Xenopus tropicalis: one gene and its partner. The protein of the gene in region 1 purifies or fractionates together with the protein of each later gene. This does not show direct contact. Links are inferred from orthologs where the notes say so. Each region holds a gene or a part of one and is shown in the gene's direction. Other genes may lie near its edges.

Region 1 (4,324 bases):
GCGTTTTCGGGCGTATATCGGCTACATGTGCCTGCACCCGAGCGTATCCCATTCATTCGGGTGCAGGCACAAGTAGCAGGCGTAGGGCTGAATTTTCGGCAAGCGTTTTTTCCGCTTGCCGAAAAAATCAGCCCTACGCCTGGTGTGGCATCAGCCTAAGAACATACAAGATAAGGCAGATGTAATCCTTCCATTAGACCCTTTAGTTATACTACTCATCCAGGTGGAAGAACTGCCACTCAATAGAGCGCACCAAACTCTAATTCTTACCTTATGCATGTTTGCTAAAAATACAATAGCACTAAACTGGAAAGCAGCCAGGGGCCAGGGGATCAGATATAGGAGCACGGGAAAGGACACACGGGAGATAAGTCACGCCGTGACAAATCTCCAGTTCGGCGCCGCGTATGCCATCCCACCGGCGATTTACATTCTAGCCGGTGGGATGGCATTGCGGGGAGATTAGTCACCAGCGACAATGGAGGTTTGTCGTGGCGTGACTAATGTCCCATGTGTCACAGTCCTAATCATCCCCAGCCTTAGTGGCCCAGATCTGATCCCCCCCCAGGGCGCTCCCGCAATCCGCCGTCTCCCTTTAGGGCTCTGGCACACGGGGAGATTAGTCGCCCGCGACAAATCTCCCTTGTCACGGGCGACTAATCTCCCCGAACTACCATCCCACCGGCGAACATGTAAGTCGCCGGTGGGATGGTACACGCTTCGCAGGCGATTTCGGCAAATCGCCAAAGTTGCCTCGCGAGGCATTTTCAGCGATTTGCCGAAATCGCGCTGCCGTGTGTGCCATCCCACCAGCGACTTACATGTTCGCCGGTGGGATGGCAACACAGGGAGATTAGTCGCCCGTGAACAGGGAAATTTGTCACGGGCAACTAATCTCCCCGTGTGCCAGAGCCCTTAGAAGCGCTCGGGTGTTGGGGGCCTCGGCAGGGGGGGTGAAGGCGGCGGGGACCATTGGGATGTAGTGGCCCCTGAGGCAGAAGCCCCTGCACCCCCCAGTCCGACCCTGTTAATAAAAGATTTAAAAGAAAAAAAATATATATATATATATCAATCAGCAATTTAAGTTATATTACTGATTTCAACAGCTTGCAATCACCAGCAGGGTTGGTTTTAATGTCAGGCAGACAATAACACCCTTATGGTAAAAACCTTTTCACACTTGCAACTCTCCACCTACTGCGTAACTACAACTCTCACAACTCACAACACGATTTTGGGCATTTTTGGACTAATTTACCTAAATCACTAATTCCGCACATGGATCCCACCCCCCCACACTTGGAATAGATTGTAGACTAAACTGCGATACTCTATTTATGCATTTGAACGGTTTGTTGAGGGATTGCAGAACTTGAGGCAGAAACTATTTTCTGCTCAGTCAGAACGTTTTTCGCCTGTCACAGTTACTTCAGAATGTCGCTGTGACGCGCTTCCGCTTCCGGTACAGTCTCCAGCTTGGAGAAGATGGCGGCTCCAGAGCAAGAAGCTGAAGTGCCAGGAATAGACAGCGAGTTGTTGGCCTGCTGTGCCGGGGAGGTGGCCTTGGTACGTGGCCGAGAAAGGCCAGGGGTCCGTCGGTACTTGGGAATAGTTTCCCCGGTACCGCTGTGTGTTTGCAGCTGGTGTAGAACCAGACTGTACCTGTCCAGGGGAACTAGAAGCTGCCAGCTAGGGGTACAGCTGTTCTCCCTGTCATATGTGTCTGTAACGGTGTAAGCACACACATACCTCCTTAGCAGTTTGTCGCCTACTAGCACTTGTACTACAATTCCCAGCATGCACCACAGACTGGTTTCTCGCTGGACGAGGTATAATATTAACATCAACAGTTAGAAAGCGGTAGATTGCACTTATCTCATTAACACAGATGCACAGCTGACTGAGTCTGTGTACGTTTCTTTATATGCACCACTACAATTCCACAATTCACTTAATATGCTATAAATAAACCACCACAGTAATTGTTTTATATAGTTTATTATATAATATATATATATCTGCAGTATAGGCCAGCACTCACAGGACTTCTAGGATTATGACTTCAGACGAATAAAGATGTTTTTACAAGAGATCTTGAAGCATGGTTCCATAATAATAAAGAACCATGCTTCAAGATCTCTTGTAAAAACATCTTTATTCGTCTGAAGTCCTAATCCTAGAAGTCCTGTGAGTGCTGGCCTATACTGCAGTTTTTATGTATTTTTTGCATTAGCACCCAGGCATTTAACTCCTGGTTTGTGGCGTGCTACCATCTACATGGACTATATATATATATATATATATATATATAGTTATATAGTGTAGGTATTCCAGCTATTAAATATAAGCATATCTCCGCGCATATTGCTAATATTGTATTCTAGTCTGCAATAAAGACAGACATTTTAAATACTGTAATATGTGTAGATTGTAATGTATTTTATTTATAAATTGGGTTCTTCTAGGGGAAATATATTTGCAGTTTAAAAATAAAAAAATTAAAAAAAAAATGGCTTGGGATACTGTCATATAGGGGTATATTTATCACGCTGTGTAAAAAGTGGAGTGAAACATTACCGGTGATGTTGCTCATAGCAGCCAATCAGATGCGTTGCTTTGGTTTTCCAACTGTTGAAAACTAATTGCTGATTGGTTGCCCTGGGCAACATCACCGGTAATACTTCTCTCCACTTTTTGCACAGCATGATAAAAATAATAAAGAATGCCCATGGCAAACGAAGGTCCCCCCCCAAAAAAAAATCTGAGCCAGGGCATTCTGCATGGAGTGGTTCATGTGTCAATGAATTTGTATTATTGTGAGAGGCAGCTGTCATAATGCTCTGTAGAGTACAGTATAAAAGTTCTAATAAATTATAGGATTCTTGACTGGAATTTTGGTAGAATGTTTTTGCAACAAATTTTTTCTTACAGTACTTACCGGGAATACTAGTCTTACAGTACTAGTATTCCCATTAGAATAATGCACCCTAAAAAATGCCTTTTGCCCAGTACGGTATCTTGGCATGGTTGGTTTAAATTTAGTTGACGTTTAGTTATGTATATTGATGGTGGTAGTGGCATACGTGTTGATAGGCGTAGATGCTTTGCAGTAGTGTTTTTAGAGCCAGAGCTAATGGTCTTCCTGGTTTCACGACCTTGATGAACTCAAAGGCCTTATGTCATTGGTGTACCCTAGCTACTGTATCTATTTACTGTAAAAATAAATAACCTTTACTTTGTGATAAAGATATGTATGAGAAGAGGCAGGGCTGTGGATTTGAAAGTATAGAATAAATTATACATTTTTCAATGTATGCTCTTTTGATTATGTATAGGTAATTGTCAGTAGCAATTTAGTAATACAGTGATATTAGTTAAACCCTTGTCTACCCCCAGTCTCACTCAGCAGGGTCTTCTTGAATTCTATATTGCTGCAACCGTAGTGCAGGTTAAGCAACCTTTACATTTTAAAACCCAGACTCAGTAATTCCAGTGTTGTTCCCCTTATAGGGGAAGCTAGCGTGATAATTAAAATTTAGTTACGTCCCATGGAAATAAGAGACTTTAAATACGATCAGTATTCTATATTGTTTATGAAGCCGTGGAGGTGGGGTATGTCTTGGGCGCCATTTGCTTTAGGCTCAGCTTTCTGCTCAACAGGGCATAGAAATAAAGGGACAGATAGACGCTGCTTTTCAGTATACTTGTAAAACCACAGAATAACTTATTTCATTGATGCTGGAAAAGTGCTTAAAATGGCAATTTCTTTAATTAGGCAAAATGTTATTGTAGGATTTACATTTCCTTAGAAGTCCATGCACAATATTATTAACTAATGTTCAGTATAGAAATAATTAACTAAATAATAAACTGCACCTTTTATGGGCTCGGGCACAAGGGGAGAAATGCTCCCTGAAATGCCATCCCACCGGCGAAAGAGGAAACTTCCATGATTTCGGGGAAATCGCTGCACCGCGTAGTCTCCCCGTCTGCCAGAGCCCTAAGGGGACACATTCCTGCCTCGTGTTCTGCATGTTTAACCTCAGTGCTTACTTCATTCAGATTCTTATTGTATGTACTGTATTGTACAACTGCATTTTATCTTTAATGCTAATGATACAACCCATTATCTGATTTTTCCTAGTTTGGTCACCCAGATGGTCCTAATTTAGCTCATCTGATTGGTCCCTGAATCAGAGGCAGTGTCTGTGTAGAACTGTCAGATAGGACCATATTGACAGCCTTGTTTATCTTCAGTGTTACATGCTCTCTATTCAATAAGGCTAATGCCAGACAAGGCATAGGGCGGATATTTTCGGCAAGC
Region 2 (4,219 bases), on another chromosome or scaffold:
CACCTTTCTCAGAATCATTGACACCCCACGAGGCGAGATCTTGCATGGAGCCCCAGAGTGAGGTCGATTTATGGTCATTTTGTGCTCCTTCCATTTTCGAACAATCGCACCAACAGTTGTCACCTTCTCTCCCAGCTTCTTGCTAATGGTTTTGTAGCCCATTCCAGCCTTGTGCAGGTCTACAATTTTGTCTCTGACATCCTTGGACAGCTCTTTGGTCTTTCCCATGTTGGAGAGTTTGGAGTCTGCTTGATTGATTGATTCTGTGGACAGGTGTCTTTTATACAAGTGACTAGTTAAGACAGGTGTCCTTAATGAGGTTGACTAATTGAGTAGAAGTGTCTAACCACTCTGTGGGAGCCAGAACTCTTAATGGTTGGTAGGGGTTCAAAAACTTATTTCACTCAATGAAAATTCAAATGCAAATCAGTTGCTATCTTTTATTTAAAGTTATTTTTTCGATTTTCCTTTTGATGTGCTATCTGCCACTGTTAAAATAAACCTACCATTGAAATGATACTCTTCTGAGACTTTTCATTTCTTTGTCATTGGACAAACTTACAAAATCAGTGAGGGGTCAAATAATTATTTCCTCCTCTGTATATCAAGATCTAAGACAGTCCCTGCAAATTGTGATCAGTTGCTATTTCTGCAATAATCACCTATTGCAACTGATGAGATTACCAAGTGTTCAAATATGCAGATGGTTTGGCAGAACCCATTCTTTAAAAAGAACTACTATCTCTGAAATTTACATTATGGTCACTTTCCAGTTTTAACAGCCTGGGGTATTACCACAATCATTTCAGAAGACAAATATTTATTAAACTGATAATAAATGTGACTTATTATGGTGCATGTTATTCATACAACCCAGGCACATGTGCCATATCTTTCTCTGACTATATTTCTGCAATACAATTTCCAAGCAGTTTTCAGTTGCAGACTATATAAAACAGGAATGTTTAAACAGTGTGCCTACTGGTGGTGCTGAACCATACTTGTAGCATCTCCAGTAAGAGACTTTATTCGCTATAAAGAATACTCTACAGAACCATCAACTTTCACCGAAGCTACCCTCCCAGGAAAGCCGAGCTCAAACACCACGTGATATGATGCAACGCTTCTCCTCAGGAACTTTGAGTTGTCACTTATGGAAGCGACCATTCGTACGGATGACAGGGGTGATCGTCAGCAATAAATCACACTGCCCCACGTCCAAGAAAACGGCATGCCGCGTCACAATAAAAAACAAATGTTCCTATTAAACTCCGCAGTGAATCTCGGGGCAACATTTTGCAAAAATGGCAGCTTAGCACGGAATCTCCCTCTCCGGTGTAGTTGGTACGGTCCTATGAAACGTTCTGGTCCAGCCCCATGTTGGGAGCACTGAGCAACGTCATTGCGGCTTGTTTGTGCCAGGGTTGCTGAGTTAGCGGCGGCCGGGTTTGGGCTCCCTCCCTTCCCCCTCCGTACTGCTTCTATTCAGGGGCAATGTCCACCCCGGCCAGGAGGAGGCTGATGAGGGACTTCAAGAGGTGAGTAGGGCTGTTACAGGCTCCTTCCCTCATCGGCTTCACTGCGAGTTCCGTTCGACTCCGCCACCAAGTCACACGACTAGTGTATAAGGCAGGGGCAGGCAACCTTCGGCGCTTCTGCTCTTGTGGGACTACACCTCTCGCCTTCTGCCCGCTTGGCATGCTGGAAGTTGTAGTTTTGCAGCATATGGGGGGTTACCTGAGGCCTCCTGGGCGTTCAGTGGATCAGTACCCGTAAAGGGAAGATGTTAGGGACACTGAAAATCACAAAACCCCACTTCTTGCTGGCTATAAGCACTAGGCCAGTTCATCTCCTTAAATATCTATAGAGAACAGTATGGAAGATCTCTTTGCAGCATAGAGCAGTTGGCCAATGAGTTATAGTAGACCCCACAATTATATTTCACTTTTGCTAGGTTTTATTTTTTATCTGTAAAGTTTATTTTTGTATTTTTTATGGCTGTTATAGTGGGCAGTGTGTGCTAGTGCAGCCGGCCCCTCTATCCCCATGCTGCCATGTGCTTATCTGTATTGTTTTGTAAGATATATCCTCACCCACATCCAAAAATACATACAGGGATGGGACCTGTTAATCGCAAAGCTCAGGAGCTGGAGTTTTCAGAATAAGGGATCTTTCCGTAGTTTAGATCTCCATATCCTAAGTCTACTAGAAAATCATTTAACCATTAAATAAACCCAATAGCATTATTTTGCCTCCAATAAGGATTAATTATACCTTAGGCTCAAGTACAAGGTACTGTTTGGCCACCTTTTACACCCTCAGCCAAAGATATGAACTGCCAGCAATGTGGTTGAAAGGTTTTCTGGCAGTTAGTGAAATGCTGGTCATCATTAGCTTTAGCCTTATCTGCCCCATTTCTGCTGCTGGTACAGTCCTGCAGTTGCCTTCCAGCTCTTTAAAAGGCTTTACACATAAACACATTTTCCCAGAATTCCAATTTTGCTTTATCTTGCATGCTTGGCCGCACATAAAAATCTATTTGGTCTGCATTGTGAATACTGAATCAGCTTTTTTGACCAATACATTTACATTGGATTATTGATCAACACTGTATGTATATTTATATAGAACTACTTAATGTACAGAGTGCTGTTCAATACTGGGCAAATTTGCACCTGGGCAAATTTGCACCTGGGCAGAAACCTATAGCAACCAGCCAGTGATTTGTTTTTATTCACCAGGTTGAAAAAAAAAAAGAGAGAAAATGTTGATTAGTTGCTGTTGGTTACTGCACATGTACAGAATTGCCTGGTGTTTATAAATGGGCCCCACTGATCAGTTATTTATTTTTTGCATTATGTTTTTTTATGTTTTTAATTACTTAATTGGATTTTTAGTCCTGCATTGTTGTCCACAGCTTTGTTTTTGGCAGTTGTGCAATGTGATTAGTAGATAAGGTATTCTGAACATTGACTACACTTCACAATCACTTGTTTTATTGGTTTTGGTGATTTGATGACATATTGATGTCTGCTAGAAATACAAAAGCAAAAAGTATCCAGTCCATCCATTTATTGTAACGTACATTATTGCACAGATAAATATAATCTTTAGCTGGGCAAACATCTTTGTATTGTTAACATTGTTTTTTTTAGGTCAGTTTATTGCATCATAAAGCAAGAATGTCAGGGAACCTCATTCCACTTGGGTCCTTAACGCTCAGCACTTAATCTTGAGTATCACTTTGTGCTTTGTATTTATTCGTTTTTATTTTTGGATTAACTCCTATTAGTGTATTGTTCTCCTGTTAGTGATGCATACACAAGTAGCACCTTATTAATAAAATATACAGACAGCATCCATACCGGTTTTGTAGCAGCCACACAGTGAAGCTCTTAAAGTCTTATGTCATTTCAGAACTCGGCTTCTGTTTTGGCTTCCCTTCAATTTTGTTTAAGCGGAAGGGTTTTTTTTTTCTATTTGTATTCCTCCTACTATAGGTTTTGGTGATTAAAAATGCCCTGGTGAGAACTGTCCCAGATGTGACACCCACCCAGTTGACTTCTTCCATATAACATGTGTTTGCCCCCTCATCCAGCAAATCTGCTCAAATGTAATACAATAAATGCAAAACAAACCTGGAATTCCGATTCTTACCTAGAGCCACAACTTTACTACTGAAGCAGATAGAAGAAATGGCGCTAGAAGTTAGGCGCTATATATATATATATATATATATATATATATATATAAAGCAAGACAGTGAGCTGCACACACCAGGACTTGGCAAAAAAAATGATAAGTTTATTTAAGCAAAGAAAGGATTTCTTTGCTTAAATTAACTTATCATTTTTTTGCCAAGACAGGTATCGGACCCCTTATCCGGAAACCCGTTATCCAGAAAGCTCCAAATTACGGAAAGCCCGTCTCCCATAGACTCCATTTTAATCAAATAATTCAGAATTTTAAAACTAATTTCCTTTTTCTCTGTAATAATAAAACAGTACCTTGTAATTTATCCCCACTAAGATATAATCAATCCTTATTAGATGCAAAACAATCCTATTGGGTTTAATTAATGTTTTATTGATTTTTTAGCAGACTTAAGGTATGGAGATCCAAATTACGGAAAGACCCCTTATCCGGAATACCCTTGGTCCCGAGCATTCTGGATAACAGGTCCTATACCTGTGTGTGTGTGTGTGTATATATACCCACT

The links. The genes of interacting proteins can lie anywhere in the genome.
Region 2: the proteins of ubr2 (region 1) and ube2b purify together in Homo sapiens (affinity purification with western blotting; 3 studies listed by BioGRID, with this or other methods). This does not show direct contact. The link is inferred for Xenopus tropicalis from reciprocal best matches to the Homo sapiens genes UBR2 and UBE2B.

Annotation. Positions count from the first base shown.
Region 1 is NC_030681.2:15,179,967-15,184,290, forward strand, and holds the start of ubr2 (E3 ubiquitin-protein ligase UBR2), read left to right. Parts: upstream 1-1,416; 5' UTR 1,417-1,485; coding exon 1,486-1,566; intron 1,567-4,324. UniProt on the Homo sapiens protein: E3 ubiquitin-protein ligase which is a component of the N-end rule pathway.
Region 2 is NC_030679.2:26,523,439-26,527,657, reverse strand, and holds the start of ube2b (ubiquitin-conjugating enzyme E2 B), read left to right. Parts: upstream 1-1,391; 5' UTR 1,392-1,494; coding exon 1,495-1,538; intron 1,539-4,219. UniProt on the Homo sapiens protein: E2 ubiquitin-conjugating enzyme that accepts ubiquitin from the ubiquitin-activating enzyme E1 and transfers it to a E3 ubiquitin-protein ligase. In vitro catalyzes 'Lys-11'-, as well as 'Lys-48'- and 'Lys-63'-linked polyubiquitination.